2 linked regions of the Yarrowia lipolytica genome follow. The protein of the gene in region 1 interacts with the protein of each later gene in a pairwise test. Links are inferred from orthologs where the notes say so. Each region holds a gene or a part of one and is shown on either strand. Other genes may lie near its edges.

Evidence for each region. The genes of interacting proteins can lie anywhere in the genome.
Region 2: the proteins of YALI1_C33299g (region 1) and YALI1_E24461g interact in a two-hybrid assay, tested with the Schizosaccharomyces pombe proteins (2 studies listed by BioGRID). The link is inferred for Yarrowia lipolytica from reciprocal best matches to the Schizosaccharomyces pombe genes snz1 and sno1.

The regions. Positions count from the first base shown.
Region 1 is NC_090772.1:3,326,851-3,331,363, forward strand, and holds YALI1_C33299g (uncharacterized protein), read left to right. Parts: upstream 1-3,109; coding exon 3,110-4,009; downstream 4,010-4,513. Other genes in the region: YALI1_C33270g (uncharacterized protein), read left to right, coding at 195-1,634.
Region 2 is NC_090774.1:2,443,897-2,448,439, forward strand, and holds YALI1_E24461g (uncharacterized protein), read right to left. Parts: upstream 2,267-4,543; coding exon 1,544-2,266; downstream 1-1,543. Other genes in the region: YALI1_E24442g (40S ribosomal protein uS10), read left to right, coding at 327-426, 552-805; YALI1_E24451g (uncharacterized protein), read right to left, coding at 1,136-1,195, 1,239-1,379; YALI1_E24479g (uncharacterized protein), read right to left, coding at 3,369-4,058.

The DNA of each region.
Region 1 (4,513 bases):
GCCTCGTAGAGCACAGGTATGATTTGTCACATGATAACACCCCCACCAAACCTCCCCCCTCCCACTACCCAGCAACGCCCACCTCACATCAGATCTGCATGTGACATGGCGAGATTTATACAAAAGCTTATTACATATGCGATCAACTCCCACTCTCAAGTGTCAGAACTACACTTCAATTGTCAAGGCATACAATGAAACTCGCTCGCTCAACTCCAAGAATTCTCAGAGGCATCAGGCCTCAAAGCATGGTCTTTGCTCGGCAGGTTGCTACCTCTACAGTACGCAAGTCTTCCAACCCGCAACTCGCATTTCCGTGCCTGGATCACCTAGAGTCAAAACAACAACGCATCACACAATCCTTTGAATCTGGTCCGGAACCCAGTTACGGCGTCAATGAGGGCTACAAGACATACCACAGTGATAAGCCTCTGTATCTCGACTATGGAGGAGTGCTTCCGGAGTTTGATATTGGCTACGAAACGTGGGGAGAGCTCAACGAAGACAAGTCCAACGGTATCTTGATCCACACGGGTCTGTCGGCCAGCTCACACGCCAAATCGCACCCCGACAACCCCAAACCGGGATGGTGGGAAAAGTTCATTGGTCCGGGACTTTCCATTGACACAGATAAGTACTTTGTGGTGTGCACAAATGTTCTGGGCGGATGTTACGGATCCACTGGTCCATCCAGTATCGATCCTGCCAGTGGCAAGCGATACGCAACCTCGTTTCCTATTGTGTCTATCAATGATATGGTCCGAGGTCAGAACCGATTGATCCGATCACTCGGTATCAAAAAGCTACATGCTTCTGTAGGCAGCTCCATGGGCGGTATGCAGTCCCTCGCGTATGCCAACGACTTTTCTGCCGAGGTGGACAGGGTGGTATCTGTTTCTGGATGTGCTCGATCCCATCCCTACTCGATTGCCATGCGACATGTTCAGCGTCAGATTCTCATGTCCGATGCTAACTGGAAACGAGGCAACTACTACGACAGCGTCCCCCCTCACGTCGGAATGAAGCTGGCTCGAGAGGTCGCCACCATCACATACAGATCAGGTCCCGAATGGGAGCAGCGATTCGGACGAGATCGAGCTGACCCCACCCGAGCACCCGCTTTGTGTCCCGACTTCCTCATTGAGACTTACCTGGATCATGCTGGCGAAAAGTTCTGTCTGGAGTACGACGCCAACTCTCTTCTATACGTTAGCAAGGGTATGGATCTGTTTGATCTCGGTGTTGAGTCCACCAAGCACACCAAGGCTATCCGAGCCAGAACTCGACAACATGAGAATGAAGCGGCACAGTGTCCTCTTCCCGATAAGCTGATTGAGGAGCAGCCGCGATCGGAGGTCAAGACTCCTTCTCGACAGGATCTAGTGGACGGAGTGAAGAATGTGGCCAAGCACAAGGTCTTGGTGATTGGAATTGCTTCCGACATTCTGTTTCCCAGTTGGCAGCAGAAGGAGATTGCTGAAGTTCTGCGAGAATCTGTGAGACAGCAGGGAGGTAACGAATTTGGCATTCATCACATTGAGCTTGGAGAGGACGTTTCCATGTATGGACATGACACCTTCCTTTTGGATGTGGAGAATGTGGGAGGACCCATCAAGCGGTTCCTGGAGCATTAGCATGTGGGTATGTGGGGATATTGGCATGTAAGTAGTGTGACTATAGAACACTCTCAGTATATACATCAACGTTGGGTCAGATAAGATATGATGTCCATTTTGTATGTGAGCAATTGTGTCTAGACTCGAGCAGTTTAGTCAGCTCAAACAGTCATCTACTTGTAGAGGTCATGAGGCTAAAAAAGACTCGGTGCTCAGGTAGCCGTGTCAGTGACACCTACTGTATCGGTATGAGTACATACTCGTACTTGTGAGGATCAAGCGGATGAGCCAAAGAGTCAGTGGATATATTGTAGTCGGGATAAACAGTCGCTACTATAGCACTCGCCATATACATACTACTTGTAGGATACGATAATGAAGCTAATAATGTTACCCTACAAGCAGCTTTTCCGGACTAATGATACTGTACTTGTACCCCACATCTCGGAAGTTGCACACTTAGAATCGTGGCTAATCGGTGTTAGACTCACATCAACTGTTAGTCACTGTGTGGTGTGTGCTATCGTACTTAGCTCCGGTTAGACTCACTCAACGACATCACGTCACATGACCCTACCTACTGCTACCTGCCTACGGCTGACTAAACGCGGCTTCCGAGATGCAGCCAGGTAGACATACTCGTACCGGTACGTATCGTGCTTGTACATGCTCGCTGCTCGCTTCCCGATACGGCCGGAAAACCTAACCTCGTACCACATGTCTAGTGCGTGTCGAATAGCCGCACGATCCCTTGTCAGCGTAACTTTAGCCGCCTTGTTTGGGGAGTGTTGTGTGGTGTGTACACATGTCCAGATTCCAAGGTGCTTGTATGTACACACCCAACACCTAACACCTAACATGATAAGTCGCTAATGCCCCACCTTGACCCCGTGTTTTGACCGTTAGCGGGTTTGTGGGCGGGTGAGTTGGGGGCAGAAGCCCTAGAGTCTCATTCATCCGGCATAACACGGCACTGAACGGTACATGCTGTTTGAGGTTATCTGGTGGCTGCGAATGTAGATGTGTCATAGTGGGGGTCAGGACATGATCTTATCACTTCAACGGAGATAAGAATAACTTTCTCGGCTGGTTGCCCCAGATATCCGCTGCTACTCTCCTTGCTGGGTTAACTAAGTATCCATATGAGTCAGGGCTTGTTCTCAGTAAACTTCGGTTACTGAAATACGCTTTAATGACAGTCCCTGGATGGGGGGAACAATAAGTGCCATTAAACCACTCTATACAAGCCTCAATGGAAAAATTGACACAAAAAATCAATTCACCCACGGCTTCCAATGGATCCTACCTTTTGTTTCCCGGAAATAGCTCGTATTTAGCCCGAAATCAAGTAGCCCCGCTTTGCTGCGGCAAAATGACCCGACTGAAGTTAGAGTTTGAAATTTTCCACCCGAGTCATTTTTTTCCCCTACAAGTATATAGTAGTTCCCCACACCTCTCATCCCACCACACTACCACAACACACACACAACACAATGTCTACCGTCGAGAAGTCTTTTGAGGAGCAGTTCAAGCTGCAGGCCGGTCTGGCCCAGATGCTCAAGGGTGGCGTCATCATGGACGTTGTCAACGCCGAGCAGGCCAAGATTGCCCAGGAGGCCGGAGCCGTGGCCGTTATGGCCCTTGAGAAGATCCCCGCCGACATTCGAGCCGACGGAGGAGTCGCCCGAATGTCCGACCCCGCTATGATCAAGGAGATCATGGCTGCCGTGTCCATCCCCGTTATGGCCAAGTGCCGAATCGGTCACTTTGTCGAGGCCCAGATCATTGAGGAGATTGGTGTCGACTACATTGACGAGTCTGAGGTTCTGACCCCCGCTGACCAGTTCCACCACATCAACAAGCGAGACTTCAAGGTCCCCTTCGTTTGCGGTGCCAAGAACCTGGGTGAGGCTCTCCGACGAATCCACGAGGGAGCTGCCTTCATCCGAACCAAGGGTGAGGCCGGTACTGGTGATGTCACCGAGGCCGTCAAGCACATGCGAACCATCCAGTCCGAGATCAACAAGACCCGACACATGTCTGAGATTGAGCTCTACACCTACGCCAAGGAGATTGGTGCCTCTTTCGATCTGCTCAAGATCACCGCCAAGGAGGGCCGACTCCCCGTCGTCAACTTCGCCGCTGGAGGTGTCGCTACCCCCGCTGATGCCGCTCTGTGCATGCAGCTTGGCTGCGACGGTGTCTTTGTTGGCTCTGGTATCTTCCTCGGCAACAACCCCGCTGAGCGAGCCAAGGCCATTGTCCAGGCCGTGACCCACTACAAGGACCCCAAGGTTCTTGCTGAGGTCTCCTCTAACCTGGGCCCCGCTATGGTCGGCCGAACCGTCGAGTCTCTGCGAGCCCACGACAAGCTCGCTTCTCGAGGATGGTAATTTTCCCTACGAGGTATACGTGCAATGTAAATAATAGATGACTAATGAGTTGACGAGAGAACGGTAGAGTACGATTATGAGAACAAATATAAGAGAGCCAGATGTTTCAGACAAGGCGATTACAGTTTATCGACGCGTCTTAAATCTCCTTATACGTCGGAGATTGTACAAGTAGCGACCTTTCTTTGAGTTACTGGAAGCCTTTCATATGCCGCTATACACATGCATTGTCCTGGGGTTGTTCAGCAACACGTATAACACAGGATTTGTGCTTCCGTTTCGATTGAGCACGTTTATTTGGGTTTAATTCTTCTTGTTACACCCGGTTCGAAGCTATTTAACCATGGCCGTGATCGACTGCTGTCTCACTCCTTATTTCTATTCCCTCGTTTTACGGTACATTGTGCAACGTGCAACGTGTGGATCATGAGTTAAATTTTGATGCTGTTGGAAATCAACCATAATTAAACTACATTTAGGAAAGTCGAACCCAGGCCATCACGC
Region 2 (4,543 bases), on another chromosome or scaffold:
AATACTGTGTATTGTCCCTACCAACCCGGCCTTAATTGTAACCTCAATTGTAAAATACTCACGATGATATTTGCGGAATGGACACTTGTAGCTGGCCATAGTACGACGGTGATCACGTGCGCGCCCGTAGACTACTCCCAACTGTACTGTAGTGTCCTCCGGTTCCTAGAGTCGAATAAAGTTGAGTGGTCACATGACTTATCCCACTTTGGGGGAAAAAACAGTCACATCTGAACCTTGCAGATTTCAAACCTCCCACTCAGTGTGAATTTTGATTTTGAAGTGTTTGACTACGAGACTCTCATCCCACGACGATACACGCCAAAATGTCATTCAACAAGGATAAGGCCGACGCTGAAGCTCCCCAGCAGCTCCGAAAGATCAGAATCACTCTGACTTCCACCAAGATGAAGTCTCTTGAGAACGGTGAGTGAAAATGGGCGCGACGAGATATGAGAATGGCAGCACTTAAGATACCCAATTACGTAACTGGAAATGACGACAGTTCCAGGACCGGGAACCTCTCTCCAAACGATGAAATACTAACACAGTCTCCGCTGACATCATCTCTCGAGCTAAGAACTCCAACGTTGGCGTCAAGGGCCCCGTCCGACTCCCCACCAAGGTTCTTAACATCACCACCCGAAAGACCCCTAACGGTGAGGGTTCCAAGACCTGGGATCACTTTGAGATGCGAATCCACAAGCGACTCATCGATCTCCACTCCCCTGCTGAGGTTGTCAAGAAGATCACCTCTATCAACATCGAGCCTGGTGTGGATGTTGAGGTCACCATTGCCGCTTAAGCTTGTTGACCCCAAAACTTGGTATAAAAAATTGCACATGTATTATTGATGTCAGGTGGTAACTTATCTACAATAACATGTATTTATTCAGTAGCAGGTATAATTGTAGACTGTAGTTGGGATCTCAAGGGTGTTTGTAGTTTGTAGTTGTTGGAAGGATATTACGGCTGAATTAATGATGTGTGTTCTAACGACGTGACTTGGAACGGAGGTAGAATGTTGTGTGTCGAACAATTTGCTTCGATATATTTGATCTAGAAATATGCTTCTGGATCTTGAGCTCGCTGCTGGTTCAATATCGGTGTACCTGAAGTACGATACCGGTGGCTACTAGTACATATTCATATCACGCAAGATCCATGTACAAAGTATTGGATGAGCTGGAGGTAACTGTGTAGCTGGCGTAAAGGGCTGGTTAGGGTCAGTACAGTACGATGATGGACGCAGCCGTACGTATCTGTAATCTGCTTATTAAATAGATACTCTCCAGGCGCCATTCATCTACGCTCTCGTAAGAACTATATGGCTCTATCCGAATGAACACCCTTGATAGGGCAGCAGACCATGCAAGCATCTGATAAGACGTGAAGTGCAACTTTTGGGGTATACCATATCACTCTGCTCTACAGCTCACACTACTTACCGCATACAGCTGATAATCCCATCCCATACTATACAAGTCATTTCCTATCTATCATGCTCCCTATCGTAGTCCATCTTGCTCTTTTCTTCAGCTTCTTACAAAAACTTGCTGAGCCAGATCTCGTGAATTCGAGTGTCGTCACTGAGCTCGGGGTGGAAAGAGGTGCCCATCATGTGGCCCTGCTCGACAGCCACAATGAGCTTCTTGGTGGGATCAGAGGGATCCTCAACCTCAGCCAGAACCTTGACGTCGTCGTTGAGAGTCTTGAAAACTACAGGAGCTCGGATGAAAACGGCGTCGAAAACAGCCTCCTTGTCGGTGATTGTAGAGGAGACTCCAAAGTTGCTAAGCTTGAGAGGGGCGATGAAGGAGCCCAGCTGTCGGCCAAAGTAGTTTCGAGACACCACCACGTCCAGGCCTCCAAAGAGAGCAGAAACGGTCTGGTCAGCGACCTTGTTTCCGTGTGCGTCAATCTCGGGGGTGCCGGCCAGAGTCTGCTTCTCGGTCTTGTGGTCGTAGATACCGGAGGAGATGAGAATCAGACCAGCACAGGTGCCCCAGGTGGGTTTCTTGTCCACAGTGACAAACTTTCGCAGAGCATCCAGCATACCGGCGGATCGCTGGGCCACCAGAGAAATGGCGGTGGACTCGCCTCCGGGAATCACCAGACCCTCGCACTTCTCCAGCTCGGTGGGGGTTCGGACCTCGATAACCTCAACATCCTTGTGGAGCTTGGCAGCGGCCTTTTCGAGATGTCGACAGTGCTCGGCGAAAGCTCCCTGAAGAGCAAGCACACCAACGGTCTGAGTCTTGGTCATGGTTGTGTGGATGTGTGTGTATGCGGTGGGAAGAAGAGAGGTGGGGTTGGAGACGGTAAAGCGCACGGTATATACGCTATATTTCTACCCTACATATTCTTACCACAAAATTATCCTGACTCTTATCTCCCAAACTCTGATCTACTGCGGGTAAATTTGAGAGGGGGTGTGGACGGTATTGTAGGCGGAATATTTGGAGTTTTAACATATAATATAATTGCTCCTAGTCAGATCATTTGATATTCACGATATCTTCCAGCCACCACATCATCATCGCCAGATAAACACTTCCTCACATTAGCATCTGGAGCGTATAAGGTTCCATTTAGCACCCCCCACCATGGAAACGAAACGGATATACGAACCGACTGTGACTAATGGAGGCTGGATGAAAAGATGGAAACGCTCCAGTACAAATCGTTTGCTTTTGTGAATCGATTCAAGCAAAAAAGTGTCACTCTTCGCTGTGATAATACTCAATTTTACTGTACTCTTTTTTATCCACATCCCGAAGTGGTAAGACACGCCGTTAGCGTATATGAGACTCGGTGATGAGGCATTAGCCTACGTCAGTGACCCGGATATCCCCACACGGACGGTTATAGGTGGTGTGACTACATGGAGCAACGGATGTGTTTCCCATTGTGTTTCAGTGTAAACACAAGCGGCAAACAATACGCATCACGTGACTATATAACGTATCCATCGTCTATCTACCATTTGGTCCCTCCTCGCAACCGCGAGTATACTGTAAACGTAAGGAGGGTTGTGGGAGTATGAGTATGAGGTAATATGTATCAGTATCGTGTGTTGAATACGCACCTATCACACAGATTCCACACAATCCATGTACTCGTACATGTATCGCACATATCAGTATGTACTTTGAATATCAGTGTATAAATTGAACATAAAACTACATCACATTAGATGCGTGCAATGTGTGCAGGCCATCAATCACAGTGCGTACCACTGTGACCACTGTGGGAGGCTTGTCACAGCTTTGTCAGTTGGTCTGTGTCTGAACAGGAATTAGAAGACATCCAGAAGACATTCGACTCGCTACTGTACAGTAGGGAGAGATTGATATAAGACGATTCGTCTAATATTTGACCTTCTTTGTGGCGAAAAGACGATCTCCAATGTCTCCGATTCCAGGAACCAGGAAGCCCTGATCGGTGAGGCCCTCATCTCCCTTGACCACGTATACCTCCACGCCCTCGAGCTTCGAAAGCTTCTCAATGCCCTGTTTGGATGCAATCAGCGACACGATGACAATATGTTCCACGCCCCACTCCTTGAGAATTTCCACCACGGCCTTGGCAGTGCCTCCAGTAGCAATCACTGGATCCAGCACAAACGCGTGGCTGATCTTGGTGGTGGCCGTGGGCAAGGGAGGAGGCAGCTTGTTGTAGTACTCCACGGGACTCAGCGTCGACTCCTCTCGGTACAGTCCCAGATGGTAGACTGCAGGGTCGTCTTGGGCGGGCAGCTGGGCCAGAAAGGGATCCAGCATGGCCTGTCCGGATCTGAGAACGGGAGCAATCACATACTCACTATCGGTGGGTTTGAGTTGGGGAACCACCACTGCATGCCCCAGGTCCGAGGTGACCGTGTTGGATCTGTCCTTCTCTTCGGGGTCTTTTCGCTGGAAGACCTTGGCCAGGACTTCGGCCGCAAACGAGCCTGAGATTTCCGCCACCAGCTGTCGGGTTTCCCGCGAGTTGAGTTTCCGGTCGCGAAGCTGCGCCAGTTTGGTCTGCAATACTGCTTGTTCTGAGGTGTATACCATTGTGAAAAGAACTGGGGGGAGGGTTTACGGTGTAAACGTGAGTAAGATAACGTGGGTCTTTTAGGCAGGCGGGCACATTGCTTTATGTACCGAGTGCTTATCACTTCTCCGGTGAACTTAATGCAGTTCATGTATTGTGGCAATATCCGTCCGTACGAGGGTGAAACACGTGTCTGAGGAACCATTCAACTTGGATTGCTGCGTGTGACCATTCAAGTGGTCTTGTGGAGCTCCATGCGCTTTTTAATCGCCATATAAACGAAGCAAACACGCATCCACTGTAAGCACTCTACCCCCAGCCCCCAGCCCCAAGGGGATCAATGGACCAAGATAAAGTTCCACCGATAAGCCCAAAAAGCGACAACGTGGTTAGACGACAGAACCCTGTTGTCTTGAGGAGAGATGATCCGGGACCTAGTGGCGACTTTTGTGGGTAAGAGAGGCTTCTTTCACATCTTTATCGATCCCAATTGTCACAAAAAACT